Linked DNA regions of Struthio camelus. The protein of the gene in region 1 interacts with the protein of each later gene in a pairwise test. Links are inferred from orthologs where the notes say so. Each region holds a gene or a part of one and is shown on either strand. Other genes may lie near its edges.

Region 1 (6,977 bases):
AGGAAACGGACATGAAAGTAAGATTACACTACCTAAGATTACAGAATCCTTATCCTATACTGAAGGTTTAATAACTAAAATAATATTTAGGAGTGCAAATAATCAGCTTCCACCTCTATCAATAAATAACTTTTTACATATTTCCTAATTAAGGCTAACCAACATGTGAGTGACAACTTCCTGTGCCCCTGCACACCTTTTAGATCACCCTTGCAAGAAATGATTTCAAAACATTGGTCCCATAGCTAACTATAAAGTGACAGATGTCAGCTATATAAATTAAATCAGGAAGACAGGAAAGAGGGATTTATATGTAAAGAAGAGAGAAAAATTTACATGCAACAGACTAAAATAAGACAGATACACGATTGGATTTCTGCAGGTATCTGCAATGAAAGCATCTGTTGGCTCCTATTGTTGCTTTTCTCCTCTTTTCATCCTTTATTTCCTTTCTTTTGCTTCCCAGCCTTCTTTGTTGAATATAGATGCTTTATTATTATTATCATCTCTGATATAAAATAATAAAAAGAAAGAAAAATGGTGAAGTCGTTTCCTTTAACGCCATCAGGTCTCCAATTTCATGACTAAGGTCCAGCTCCAAGCTTTACCTATTTTTTATTGTTATATTTTATAATAATCACTACATACACGGGCTTGCTCATTAGACAGGCCTGTATTACTGTATCTCTCTTTAGAATCAATAGCTAGCTCCACCTAGTGTCTTCTTAATTCATCAGCGAAACAAAAAGCTAAAACTAACTACTATTGACAAAAGAGAAGCAAACTATAAAATCACTTTTCAGCTGGATGGTGGCCACAGATGGCATGCAATTATGATACTGTCATCACAAGCAAAATAATATTTAAAATAACTACCGTCTGATGATAGCCAGCCAGCAGTCTTGTGACAAAGAACAACCAACAGCTTCAGAAGTATACCTCATGCAATATAAAATGGTTTTACTGCTACCCTGAAAAGGTAAATGACACTTAAGCTGCTTATATGGGTTATTCTCTCTATGGTTTTATAATCAACAAGAAGGACAAATTACCTTTGAACCTAACAGAACTTCTCTGAAATAGCATAACAATAGTTTTTATCATCAAAATCATAGAACTACTGGTGACTATACAAACCTGATAGTGATTTTGTCCATTAATAAGCACTTCTTCCCTCCTAGCAGTTATAAAATAATTTAAAATGCCTCCCAGAGGTGATCAAAGCACAAAAATGCTCAAATTGCCTAAGAGTATAGTTTTACTGATCTTTATTTTCAAACTTTTTAAAGGCTGGTTCACTGCTGTGTATCTAGAAACACCTATCTTTTTAAAAACTGTTATAGATCTAGTCAGCAACACTTAGCCTTTAATAGCCCGATTCTCTTCTGGCAAGACTACCTAGCTTACAGCCAGCAAAGTAATTTAAAACAAAGTTAGAAAGTGAACATCCAGTGTGATAGGAGATTTTTTGAATATCATTTTGGAAAAAAAAAAAAAAAAGATATACCTAAGCATGAAGAGCGTCTACAGAAAGCACATTGTATTACAAAATAATCCAATCCAATGATTGTTTCCTGGGGGCTATCAAGCAGTGTTTGAATGGTTGTTGTACCTCCAAAGGTGAAGCAAAATAAGCCTCTGCCTTACTCTCACAAAACAGCACTTTTCCTTTTCAGACCCAGAACAATCCACTTTGACACAGCTGACATCTGTTTTAAACCTGTTCAAATCACCTGTTCAGAACTGCTTAGCAGTTTCACCCTAGTGGTGATAAAATATATTTCAATATGTACAGTATACACTTGAGGATTGCTCACCACGACAGAGAGGGAGTATATATGTTGGGGGGCTGGTGGGGGGAGACAGACAGAATGAAGGAACATATATATAGATGATACCTAGACCAAAGTAAGCACCTCTAAATGATCTCAAACTTTCTTAAAACAGGCAGTCTAAAGTTATACTTATGACTCATCTGGTTTAAAGTATTCACGGCTAAAATGTAGTGGTTATATGAAAACATTACTGCAACATGGAATATGAATTTAATAAAATACATGCAAAACTGCTCTCTGATGTTTCAAAAATAAGACAATATGCCAATTCTCAATAATTTAGCAGTTGCCGTCATTTCTCATTAACAGCTTTCAAAATCCTATCTGAAACAAGCTGATACAGAGAAATTAAGAGCAGTAATCAAGCGAGAAATGATAGACCAGCTGGGTAGACATCAAGTTGGCAAAACGTGAATACAGTTCAATAGCTGAAACAGATGCCAGAGTTGTTGAAAAACCCTGCAGGAGATATTGATGTATTTTCTTTATATAATACTGAACAACCGAATAAATGTCAAGAGCTAAAAACTGATGGGGAATAAAACCTGTCAGAGTAACTATAAAGCAGAAACCTGCAGTAGTATCTTTTCATTACATCAACACATTTAATACATGCATCTTCATTTCCGTGGGATTCCTCAATATGCCAATACATCAATCAGAGCTGGCTGGTAAATCATATGGAGCCTTTGCCAGTGTTGTTTCACATCTGTTTGTTTCTATCTACCTGAGGCTTCACAGACTTAGAAAAGACTTTAGTCTTCAACCTCATCCTAACATAACGCTCTCTTTCAGGCAAGGGATTCCCTGAGCTTAGAGGCGAGCATAAGAAAAAAGTAACACAAGCAGAAATGAAATTACAAAATCCATTTTGCAAAAGGAACATTGTTTCCAGAGTTTCAAGACCTCAGCAACAAATCCTCTGCCGTCAGCCGCAGCTCATTCTAACATATGCTTTGTCATGGTCACTTTCTAATTACATTCATAATGATGCAATAGCTTTGATAAGCCTACCTTCCATGCCAGCTGCTTTTCTTGTCACTCCATCATGCCAATAAGTTGGCTGCCGTAACAAATCAAGATAGTGCAAAACAGCATCTTCTCCCTGCATCTGTCATCTTCCTGAAAGCATTCTATTACTGCCGACTGCTGGGAACCAGAAAGTCTATTTGAATTCCAGCAGCTCCCCTTTCGCATGATTCAAGTTCGGTTAGGTGGGCATGCCTAACATGATTCTCTCCATCATTTATTATGCAGCTGCTACTCCGTCGGTGTGGTAACCACTCTGACTTTATCTGATACGTCAGTCTTGCAAACCTATACCTCCGTGTGCACGCGCGAGCCCCAGAAGCATCTTGCATTTAATGAGCACTCTCGCTGCCTGAAGAGAGTGCATCTGCAAATCGGTTTCGCATCCTGCTGCTCACACCGTCCTCTAAGGCTGATGCAAGTGTTTAAAGATTTTTTTTTAATATTTTTGCATTTCGTCTTTGCAGAAAGCACTGCGCCTCATGCACACTTGGTTTATTCACACTTCAGTTAAATGCTTGCTGATTTGTGTCCAACTAAACAGCACCTTCCCATTGAAACTCTCTGCTCTAAAGCTACTTCTGAATAACAGTACTGTGCATTCAGGCTCTCAACTGTTTCATTTTAAACGTGGCTTTCAGAGCTACACCTCGACAAATTATATTTAGCTCTCTTTCATTGCAGTGAATGGCTGTCTAATGAAGAAACAGGAGATTTTTAAGCAATATATCTAGATCTACCTGTAGGTGACTTTCCCTTTTTTGTGTTTTATACATTCTAGCAGTAAGTGGATAGCTCTGTTACAGCATCTTGATATTCTTAAAGTGGCAAGAACACTGCCAGAAGCTGTTTTTCGCCAGGCTGTGGAGGACACTCCATAATGACAGAGTTCACTTAACTGCTTCTGAGTACTGGGAATTAAAGGGGTAGGACTGTTCTGTTGTCTTTCTATTTATATTTCCTGTCGGGGTGGGGGGGAGGGGGGAAGCAGGCTTGCGTCAGGGATTTCAAATGAGTGTTAATACAAATTGACAAAGAGACATCAATCATCCACCAAGTTAAATTAGCTGGGTCTCCTCCCACCGCTTCTGCCTGAAATTCAGAGTCACGGCAGTTCATCTTTAATGCATCTGCTTGCACAGAGATTGAATAAACATCCCCAACACTACACTGAAAAGTTTGAATGCTTAAGCCAGGAAAAAAAAAAGGCTTTTTAAAACTGCAACTGATTGGCCACAATACATTACTTAAGCGAAGTAGGGAGGGAGGAGGAGGACTAACACCAGAGTCTCACCTCCCCAGCCTTTACACAATGACAAAAGAAGGAGTGACGAAGGGGAAAGGGCACAGTCCCTCACAAGGAGCTTTACCTCGCTGCGTCATCCAGCTCTGGACCAGTTCTCGCATTCCTAGCGCAAAAGATTCATTTTTTCTTAAAAACAAAACAAAACAAAAAATCCTCTCTCCAATAGATGTGTTTAGCTTCTCCATGCTTTCCCCTCCAACCCTACCGCTTTGCTCCCTTCCTCCCCACAATTTCCTATTCTCAGTTAAGTACCCAAAGGCTATGAAAAAAAGCTAGAAAACATGAGCTTAGGAGAGCTATATATCAGAGAAAGTCTGGGGGGGGGGGACCCACAACCCCAAGGCAAGAGAATCTCTCACTACTTTTAAAAACAATTCAGGAAGTCTCATAGCTACCTCTCAGCCTCCCTCAACAGCGCTCTCCCCAAGGGCGGCGCAGGGCACATCCCTCTGCGCTGCTTGCAGAGCTGATCCCCGAGGTTAGCAGCAAAGCCTGGACATGCCGCTGGCCACAGGCACGGGGCAGCAGCAGGGTGCAAACCCCGACCCCACAGGCAGCGCTGGGAATGAGCTGGCACCGGTGGGTGCCGAGCGCGGGAGACCTCCCAGCTCTGCTGTTAGGGTTCGACTGCCTGCTCTAGCCTGTATCTAAATGGCACAGCTGGCACCTGAATAAGCTCACATAACGTGGTGCAGTTTGTATTTGATACCGTATTTATTCCTAGCATGCTGCCAGAAAATGTCTTTTTAGAGATTTCATGTAAATAAAGTAGAATTACTGCATCTGTTCCTCTGTCTGTAGCAGCACATATCAACAAGCTAATCCTGCATGCAAGGCAGCAGAGACAGTCCTATCGTATAGTTGCAAAGTGCACAACTATAAAGTGCCTATCTGAAAATATTGTCACTTCCTTTTTGTTCACAGTTCAAGTCATTTCTGAAGTGAAACAAACCAGGCAATAAATGAGGACTGTCTTTGAAGTCCCCATAAATTCAAAGTATATAAAAGGATATGCTTAATATTTCACACTGCATTATGATTTTTAAACCACAGAGTCAGTAGCAAGGAATTTAAATGTTATTTCACAAAAGAAAAGTTTGAGTTTGTAGCTCATATAGCCTGTAATTGTGCGGTAGGTTTTTCACAATGATAAGACAAGTAAAAACTCACTGCAGACTTGATTTCTATTTCAACGAATTTTGAGCTATGCAAGGTTAGAGATGGACATGTTCGGAAAAATACTTTGTAGGTACATAAGCCAGATAACGCTGGTAAGAGAATGGGGGTATCTGGTATAGCAGCATCATAAATATAGATTTTTAGCAGAATCTTTTCCCACTACAGAAACCAGCCCCTTAGAAGGAAGTACAAAAAGGAGGGCATGGCTAATAGGGGACAAAAAAGAAATTATGAAAAACATTTCCAGAGAGATAAGCATGGTATTACAAGGAGGATCCATCAGGGTATATTGTTTAATACTACTGCCCTCCAGCACAGCGTACAATCAACATCCTGTAGTTTAGCTGCACAGACCATTCCTCTTCAGATCAGAGCTGGGTTTGCCCCTGGAAAAAAAAGAGGAAAAAAAATTTTGTTTGGAGAAGGGAACTGTAATATACCAGTATGGGCATCTTCTCTTTACATGATCTGTATAGAAAAAGAGTTCAGAGACAAATGGAGAATTTGGGAGGAGAAACCAGTATCAGTCATTCCGTCCACATACTAATAGGCCGGATTAATAGCTGGCTTTGGTCTAGCTTTTCTGCATTTGTCTGAGAAAACAACAGTTTTGGTTCCTGCTTATTATATCTATGCAGATGCTGAATCTAGTTACAATTATAGTCACCCACCCTTATGGAATCAATTGCTTTAGAGAGAAAGCTCGACTGCAGCTTTCCATCGACATGGACTCCTCAGTACACAAATACGTATTTTTTTCTCTAATACAGCACTGTCCCCAGTTTTAAAGCAGAAATAAATGACAAGTGGAATGACAGTGACCAACTAGAATTCTACTTTTTACAGTATTGAACTCAGCAGGCTGAGAAATTCCAGTCTATTTGGCTGACAAAGGGGTGAAAAAGGAAGAAAGCCCCTCTCTTTTCCTAGTCCATCTACAACTTATGGTGCAGATATGTCTATACATTTTAATTGCTTCACTGCTACTAGAGCGACTAATTGGTTTATTCAGTGTGTGTGAGTTTGATTATGGTTGTGTGTGCACATTACAGTGATAACTATGATACCCTGTAGAATCTCTTCTTGTTGCCATTTCTCTCTTTAGTTTTCCTCTTTGGAGGTACTAATGACTCCAACTAAGCACAAGGAGGTAATGGTTCACTGAAAAATGAAGCAAGCAGACTGGCCTTGACCTTCAATTCAGCCTCACATGCTCTACATGATGCACTCTCTGATATGAAATGAATGCTGATTTTATCTGGCAAAAAAATGTTCATTTGTTGTGCTAATATGTCTCCTGGTAGCAAATCTATTTCTCTTTGCTTTTTCGCTGTTTACCGGTATTCTTACCTACTTCACCCCTCCCGTAATAAATAACTAATTTGTTCAATAAGCCACCCAAGAAAACACCTTAATGATGTATTAGATATGTTTATATTAATAAACACTTCCAGAGGGAGCATCGGAAGGTTTGTTTGTACTACACAGGCAGGAATTATTAATTATTTCCTCTTATTAATAATTCTTATTAATTATAATTCTTATAATTTTGCCTTCTATATTCATTATTTATTAATTATAGAATTCCTCACATATAATGATAAAAGTCAGCTGTTCATAAAGGATCA
Region 2 (7,202 bases), on another chromosome or scaffold:
GTTTTGACCCATAAAACCATATTTTCTGAATTTTATCACATATGCTTTGTGCTATACTGTAGAATGACTCTGTCCAGAGTATGGATATGTAGACAGTTAGAAAAAAATATTAGTAAATATGGAATACTGTGGCTTGAGTCTGCAGTTGTGGCCCTATTATAAAAGGGCCACATTAAGCTCTAAACAGATTCAGGTAAAATGAAGACCAAGCTCAAGTTTATAAATACTAACCTTAAAAAAAGTACTATACATCAATTAGTACAATGTACTAAACAGTGCATCAATTAAGGGTCTACGCAGCCATTTTTTGCTAAAAAAGGAAAAAGAGGTTTGGCTAAACAAAGGAGATTGAAAGCGAGTCTGACAGACATAGCATCCTATTGTCTTCCTCTTTGCTTAAAAGAAGTAGTGAAAACCAATAACAACGCTCTGAGTATTTTTTTCCAGTAGCATACAAATACAAGTTTTTTTTTTTTTAAACTGAACAAAATAGTTCCAGAAATAAACTTATTAACCTCAGAGCAAAAAAAAAAAAAAAAACTTTGCAAGTGTATTTTGTACAAGCAGAAAAATAAAGTCCCAAACACTTCTGCAGATACGCAGCTCGTGTAAACTGAGCAGCATATAGAAACAAGTAAAACAATCTATATTAATAAACACCATTTCTGCAAAAATACCCAAGCAAAGAAAACCTACAGTTAACAGCCAGACCTCTACTTAACAATTTACAAGAAATAGTAAAGAAAGAATTCATAAAACAGCACAGCAAGTAGTTCACTGAACATGCCCTATGGAATGCCCTACAGCTGACGTCATTAGCAACTTTATAGGCTGATCTGACTGGAACTCTTAGTACTCAAGATTCAAGGGAATAAGCTCACCTGAAGTTCAGAGCACTTTACCAGGAAAAGAATAAGAACTGAGTACTCAGAAATGCTCAGAACACATTGTATTGTACACGTGAAAGATGTGGAACATTTCTGGAAGACACAGTCATAGATTTTGTGGTCAACAACAAATCATGCATGACATGTTACATGTGCAGTGAATCCACAATGAAGCAAGACCACCATTATTATTCCAGAAGAATAAGAATTCTTCACAGAGATCTGTCAAAAGTAAGAATTTAAACTTTTGCAATTAAGTTTGCCCTCTGCAATTGTTTCTTTGCTTGTTCGTTTTCAAGCTTCCTAAAAGTAGTCTCAATATTTTACCTCCCTGAATTGCTTCAGGAGTGGAAAATTCATTGAACTTTATCTTTGATTTGATTTTGCCTTCAAAGCAAAATCCTGGAGATGGAATTCTTTGAACTGATGGAGACTTCTTTAAACAGAGGACAACTAACTGCACTGGTAAGTACAGAACCTCAATTACCCTACTGCAAACCTTTCCTGATGCCTGGCTGTTACAAATGCAAAATGAGGCTCACAAAAGTTTGCTTCCAGATGGGCTATGTTAGTATAGATACCACTTTCCATCACAAGGGCTAGTGATTTTTGTATGAATGCTACACATTGTATAAAGACTTTGTGTGGATGTCATAGGTTTCTACCTGCTAACGTTTATAACCAGTATAAAAATAACCAGTATAAAAGCACAAAAATACTATAAAGAAAATACTGAAAAATAATGAATCAAAATAATATACACAAAGAAGAACAAATTTATCAGGTGTATCAAACTCTAATTTTGAAACTTAGGAGTTGATAAAATGAAGTGGTCTGCATATATTTACCACTTAAAGAATCACATACATTCACCACTTAAGACCACTTTAGGGAAGAAAAAAAAAAAAAATCAGACTTTTAAGCCTAGCTGGCACTGTGTGGGACACATTAAGAGGTCACAAAAGCACAGTTTACATGTTATTTAACTTTTTAAAATTCAAGTAGTAGCCTCGGATGTGATCAGAATTCAAATGAATGCAACATTCAGGCCTGACAGTGAAAATAACTACGTTTAGACAAATCCCCTGAAAATCGACTGCTTTCTCCAGTATCAAAAAGTTAGAAAAAGAGAATATTCACAAGCTGAAAAACCGAAGGCAAGAGACTTGAAAAGCCTCTTGAAATACTTTTGTTTTAAGAGCAACGTTAATAGTTCCAGCCGCATAACTTACACACATTTCACCACTCAGGCACATGAAGAGAAGCCAAACCAACGCCGTCTCCCAGCTCCTGCGCTCCAAACTGCAGCATCCCGCGTTTAAAACACGTACGGCAACGCAGTGGCTTGCCACAGGCGTTACGCAACGCCACCGCAACCTTGCGGGAAACTTCGGCGCCAGGAGTTTTACCGGGGGACACGTGTGAGAGGGCGCGCACCCCTCCAGGTGCCTCTCCGGAGCCCGCCGCCCTCTGGGAGCGGCATTCCTGCCCCCTCCCCCGCACAGGGCCCTGAAGGAGCGGGAGATCCCGTCCCAGGCCAGATGGCGGGACCCAGCCCCAGCGGGATCTCCGGGACCAGGATGCTGGTTGAGAAGAAAACAGGAGGGAGAGGGAGCAGCAAAGTGAAGCTGCCTCCGCAAACAGGGGAACTACAGAGCGGCGAGAGCCGAGCGCACAAACTTCTGCCGCGGCCAAGCTCAGAGCCGGCCGAGAAGGGGGGCAACCGGACCCACCCGCGCCATGCCTCCGCCGGCGGTTGGAACCGCTCCCTTCCGCCCTACCCCCGGCTGGGGGAGGGAGGACAGGCTCAGCGGTGCGGATTTCTACCTGCGACACCAGCGGAACCAACGTTTGCTCCACGGAGCGCGTGCGGATCTCCAGTCCTGCGTCCGTCCCCAATCCCGACGAGGACGACGAGGAAACACCACTGCTGCTGCACGGAGACATGGCCATGGCGGGGAGCAGAGAAGGACCCCCAACTCCCTCGAAACCAACTCCCCTCCTCCCGGCCGCTACCCACACGACAGCCTGCGCTGCCCTGCCCCGCCCCCGCCAGCCAGGGCACCGCTGCCTTGCCGAAGCGCACAGAGATGCCGCACGCGCGCGCGCTCAACCTCCTCCCCCCCCCCACGGCCCCTTCCACGCCCCCTTGGGATGGGATGGGATTTAAAGCGACAGTTCCAGTTTCTGCACTCTCCTCACCAGGCGCTAGCACCACAACTACCGGCAGCCTTCCCCCCACCCTGCACTCGCCTCTCCCACGCCGTGTCCCGGAGCGGGGCGCTTCCGCCAACCCCCGCCGCGCAGGCGAGCGCGCGTAGCCTCCCGGCTTCCCCTTCCCCCCACGCGGCGGGTAAGCGAGTGCAGCCGTGCTGCGGCCGTGTTCCCGGGACTGGGCGGGTGAGTGGCACCCGTGTCCCGTATCAGCCTCGCTACCTCCCCGCTGCCCACGCAGGGCTCTACGCTGAACTTTCGAGCCGCTGGAGGAAGGACTGGTGCTTGCCCCCTCGGCAGCCGCCCCGACCTGGTTTGCGTTTTCCTTGCCGTAGGTAGGCGGCCTCTCCCAGGATGGCGGCGTCGGAGGGTCGAAACACCCAGGTTCGAGGATCCGTGCCTGGGTGTGGAAGTCTCTTCCCTGTGCATGTTTGCAGCTGGGGCAAGGGTCCACGCTCTGCAGTGGCTGCAGGGCTTGGGTAGCCTTCCAGAAAACGAGAGTCCAGGTGCGTAGCCAGACTTCTGCTTCACCCACCCTAGCCAGCACAAATTTGAGGGGAAGGGTAGTCCCAGGCAGGAAATCAGGGACACGGGTACAGGGGGAACTGGAAAGTTAGCTACACAGTCACTGTATTACTGAAGATTATTTAAGTCAAGATTAGTTTATTTTATGTGATCTCTGCAAAGGTTGGTTAGCTGTATTAAATTAAATTTCTTCTTCCCCTTTTGCAGCCTCCCAGTGAAAAACTCACCTCCCTCCTTTCAATGATTTGTTTCCTATGCCTGCACATTGGCTGGTTTAGAGGACAACTTTCATATGTATCTGACATTACCCAGCTTTGGTGCTAAAGCAGAACATCTATGGATGATTTAGCAAGAAGAATGCAAAAATATTTTCAAATGAATGAATGTTTTCTTTGGCTTTAGGAACGGACTAAACTCACCTCCCCACATTAGTTTATGACCTATAGTCTAGAAATATCAATGCATGACTGCTTACTCATCTAATCTGACTATGTATTTGATAATGCTGATTCTTCTACAGGCCTGTCTGCCCAAACTTGTGGGAACAGTAGCAAGCTCTTATGGCTGTGATCCAAACTACCAAGGTGCAGAGCAGCTCTAGTCCAGAATGGGGGTAACTCAATGCATGGAGCCAACAAGCCCTACTTAGGATTTAGGCTCACGAACTACTCTAACATAGCTATTTAGTTTCCTAGTCAGAACTGATTTGTGTTTAACTACTCTGAGCTCAGACAAAACAACTGTGTAAAATGTCTTTTGGCTTTTTTACATTTTTTACAAAGATTTTGTCTCATTTTCTGTCTTCAGAAACACTTCTGACCTATTTGATTACAACATCTCTAGCTAAATATTGAAACCTGGACAGAAGGTTAAAAAGGATAGCATCTGTTGTCCTACAGAGTCTTCCATATTTATTAAAAAAGAAAATTGTCAGAACTACTAGTATAACCCTAGATAAAAGTATGACCCTATTCCTAGCTCTTCAGGAAATTGGTTTCATATCATATTTTCTAAACATGGTCTCATATCATACTTTCTAAAATGACACCTTTACAGCATCAAGTATTACAGGAAAGAACTGAAGACTTAAATCTACTGTGGTACAAAATCATTTAGATGGTGGGGTAGACTTTGAAATAAATGTGAGTCATGTTTGATAAAAGTGGTTTAGAACACACTTGTGATTTCTTGTTTTTTTTCCTCTGTTTCTCTGAAATTCTATCCATTTACTTAAAACATCTCTCATTCTTTTCCACATCATTTGTTCTCCCTTTATATCTTTCTCAATACCTTGATTCTAAGCCTTCCAGAACATTTATTGTCTTCTATTATGTTTTAGTGCTTAGGACAAGCCTGGATGCAAACTCCACAAGGCTGTACAGGGGACTTTGGATTGTATGAGCTGAGGCATACATCAGACAAAGTGTCAGTAGTGCAAGAGAGAGGGAGAGACAACTACATTCCTTTGGGATATAGTTTCCCTGCACCATTTTACTTCACATTGAAAAAGAAAACAAGTTTTGTCCTGAGGAAAAAAAAAAAAAGACAACAAAAATAGCATTTTAAAATCCTTTTCTACTCAGATTGGGCAAACGTCCTGATTTGTGAGTAGGAATTTTGCAACTGCTTTCTGCAGGCAGAAGTCCTATTCACAATCTACCACTGTCTTCTCCTTTCCTTTTGCCTTCACTAGAGAAGTAGCATTAGTAAGTCAAGCTAGTGACAACATTGTCTAGCTCTCTCACTTCATGTCCTTCCAGTTTAAACGTGGAAACCACATGCTCTGCTTCCAGGTCCTGTGTTAGACAAACAGTGCATTTTGTGATGGTTTTAATTTAACACAATTGAAAAGCTCTAGAATGCTGCATACTGACATCTTTGAAGATATCTTGAGGAGATCTTCAAACATGATAGCCTGGAGGTTAATTGTGCTTTTTAATTATATTAAGGCAATTTGAATGAGCCACTGTGATAGATAACAACTACACCTTTGGCATGACAACACACACTTCAGAGGGAGCAGTCTAAATGTATAATGCACAGAGCTAGAATGTTTTTCTCCTATCATTCTCAGCCCATGTGACAGATTCAGGAAAGCAATAGCCCACCATCCCAAAGAAAATGCTCCTCACTCCTATAATGCAGGAGGAGGACCACTGGCCACTGCAGTTTCTAGATAGCTACTACTGTTCACCTCTACCTGTTATCTGAAAGGTATCTGAAGTACAAGGATAGAGGACAAGAGTCATGCCTAATGGACTATATTTCTAACCTCATAACTTTGTCAGTTATCAAGGGGAAGGAAGTGTTTCGTATCCCCACAGCATTATGAACAGGTCAATCTATTCTTCCTCATATCTCTTCTAGACTTTACCCAAGGATGGGACACCTTCTGCTCCTCTGTCCATGATCTCCCACAAGCTTGGGTTCCCACATAAAAGGTAAACCACAGCATTGTTAAGTCCCTGCTTTTCTCATGTTCCCTAGTCTAGCTCTTCATCTCTCCCTCTTCTTCCTGATGCACCTTTTGTAGGAGAAAACAGCCCAGCACATGGCTGAGCCAAAAGTCTCAGTCTGTTCTCTAATGTCCCATGTGCCCCAACAATGACAACTCTCCTAAGAAGGAGAGCTGTTTTGAGCTTTTACGCATAGTTAGGCCATGGATGATGGCCTCTTAGCTTTAATGGGAATGATATGAAATGTACTAATGAGTAAACACATCTTATTCCACCTGTACTTTGACTTGTCTGAAGAGGTTGCCAATCAGCCTCAGCTTACCTTCTAGCCAGTCATCACTGTCCAGGTGATGGAATAGCACCTCCTCTTACCTTCCAGCTAAGATGTGTGTGTGTGTGTGTGTGTTTTCCCTGGGCTATTTAAAGCAAAATGAGATTAAGGTTAAGCTTAAACGGTAAAACTGTTTTTGCTAATCTGGTCATTTTGACTGGAATAAGGTCACCAATGAGGGCAGAAACCTTTTCAACTGTGAGAAACCTTGTGTCTAACCCTTAGGAAACAGGTTGTTAGAGCTGTTATGTGTGCATTGTTGAGACATACATAGTAAAGCAGATACCATGTAACAATGAAATCAGTCAATACAGGTTTGAACTTGTGTGTTGTGAAGAAGAACCTAAAAGTTTGTGGCCCAAAGAGCAGTTGGTCTAGGAAACACAGCACAGAGAACAAGGAAATGCTGGAAAAAATAGCTGATGAGATCAGAGGACTTTTCAGTAAATTTGGTAACTGAGCAGTTTTACATGTATATTTATAATTAATCAAATAAGACATAGGAATTACCTAAATTAATAACACTTTGAGGATGGATTCCAAAAGCTGGTAATTGCTCTTTTATCCTCCCACGTAGGACATCCCAAATATGCAGAGGTAACAGGAAGTAGTGCCTCCATTGCTTCCTAGATAGATATATATATTCCTAGATATACCAGCTGTAGTCTGGAATGCAGAGCTTAGTGCTAAGGATCAGATTAGGGCTAAGGATCAGATTGCTTTCCTTGAGCTCCCTCTCTCTTTCCTCCAGGTGAGGATAAAGTTGGAGCAGAGTGGAAGGGGAAAGCA

Evidence for each region.
Region 2: the proteins of DMD (region 1) and CTNNAL1 interact in binary tests that used the Homo sapiens proteins (3 or more experiments, as listed by UniProt). The two-hybrid records come from large-scale screens. The link is inferred for Struthio camelus from reciprocal best matches to the Homo sapiens genes DMD and CTNNAL1.

The regions. Positions count from the first base shown.
Region 1 is NC_090942.1:130,523,873-130,530,849, reverse strand, and holds the start of DMD (dystrophin), read right to left. Parts: upstream 3,007-6,977; 5' UTR 2,947-3,006; coding exon 2,850-2,946; intron 1-2,849. UniProt on the Homo sapiens protein: Anchors the extracellular matrix to the cytoskeleton via F-actin. Ligand for dystroglycan.
Region 2 is NC_090943.1:74,944,643-74,951,844, reverse strand, and holds the start of CTNNAL1 (alpha-catulin), read right to left. Parts: upstream 3,017-7,202; 5' UTR 2,841-3,016; coding exon 2,715-2,840; exon of another isoform or gene 2,144-2,714; coding exon of another isoform or gene 2,120-2,143; intron 1-2,119. UniProt on the Homo sapiens protein: May modulate the Rho pathway signaling by providing a scaffold for the Lbc Rho guanine nucleotide exchange factor (ARHGEF1).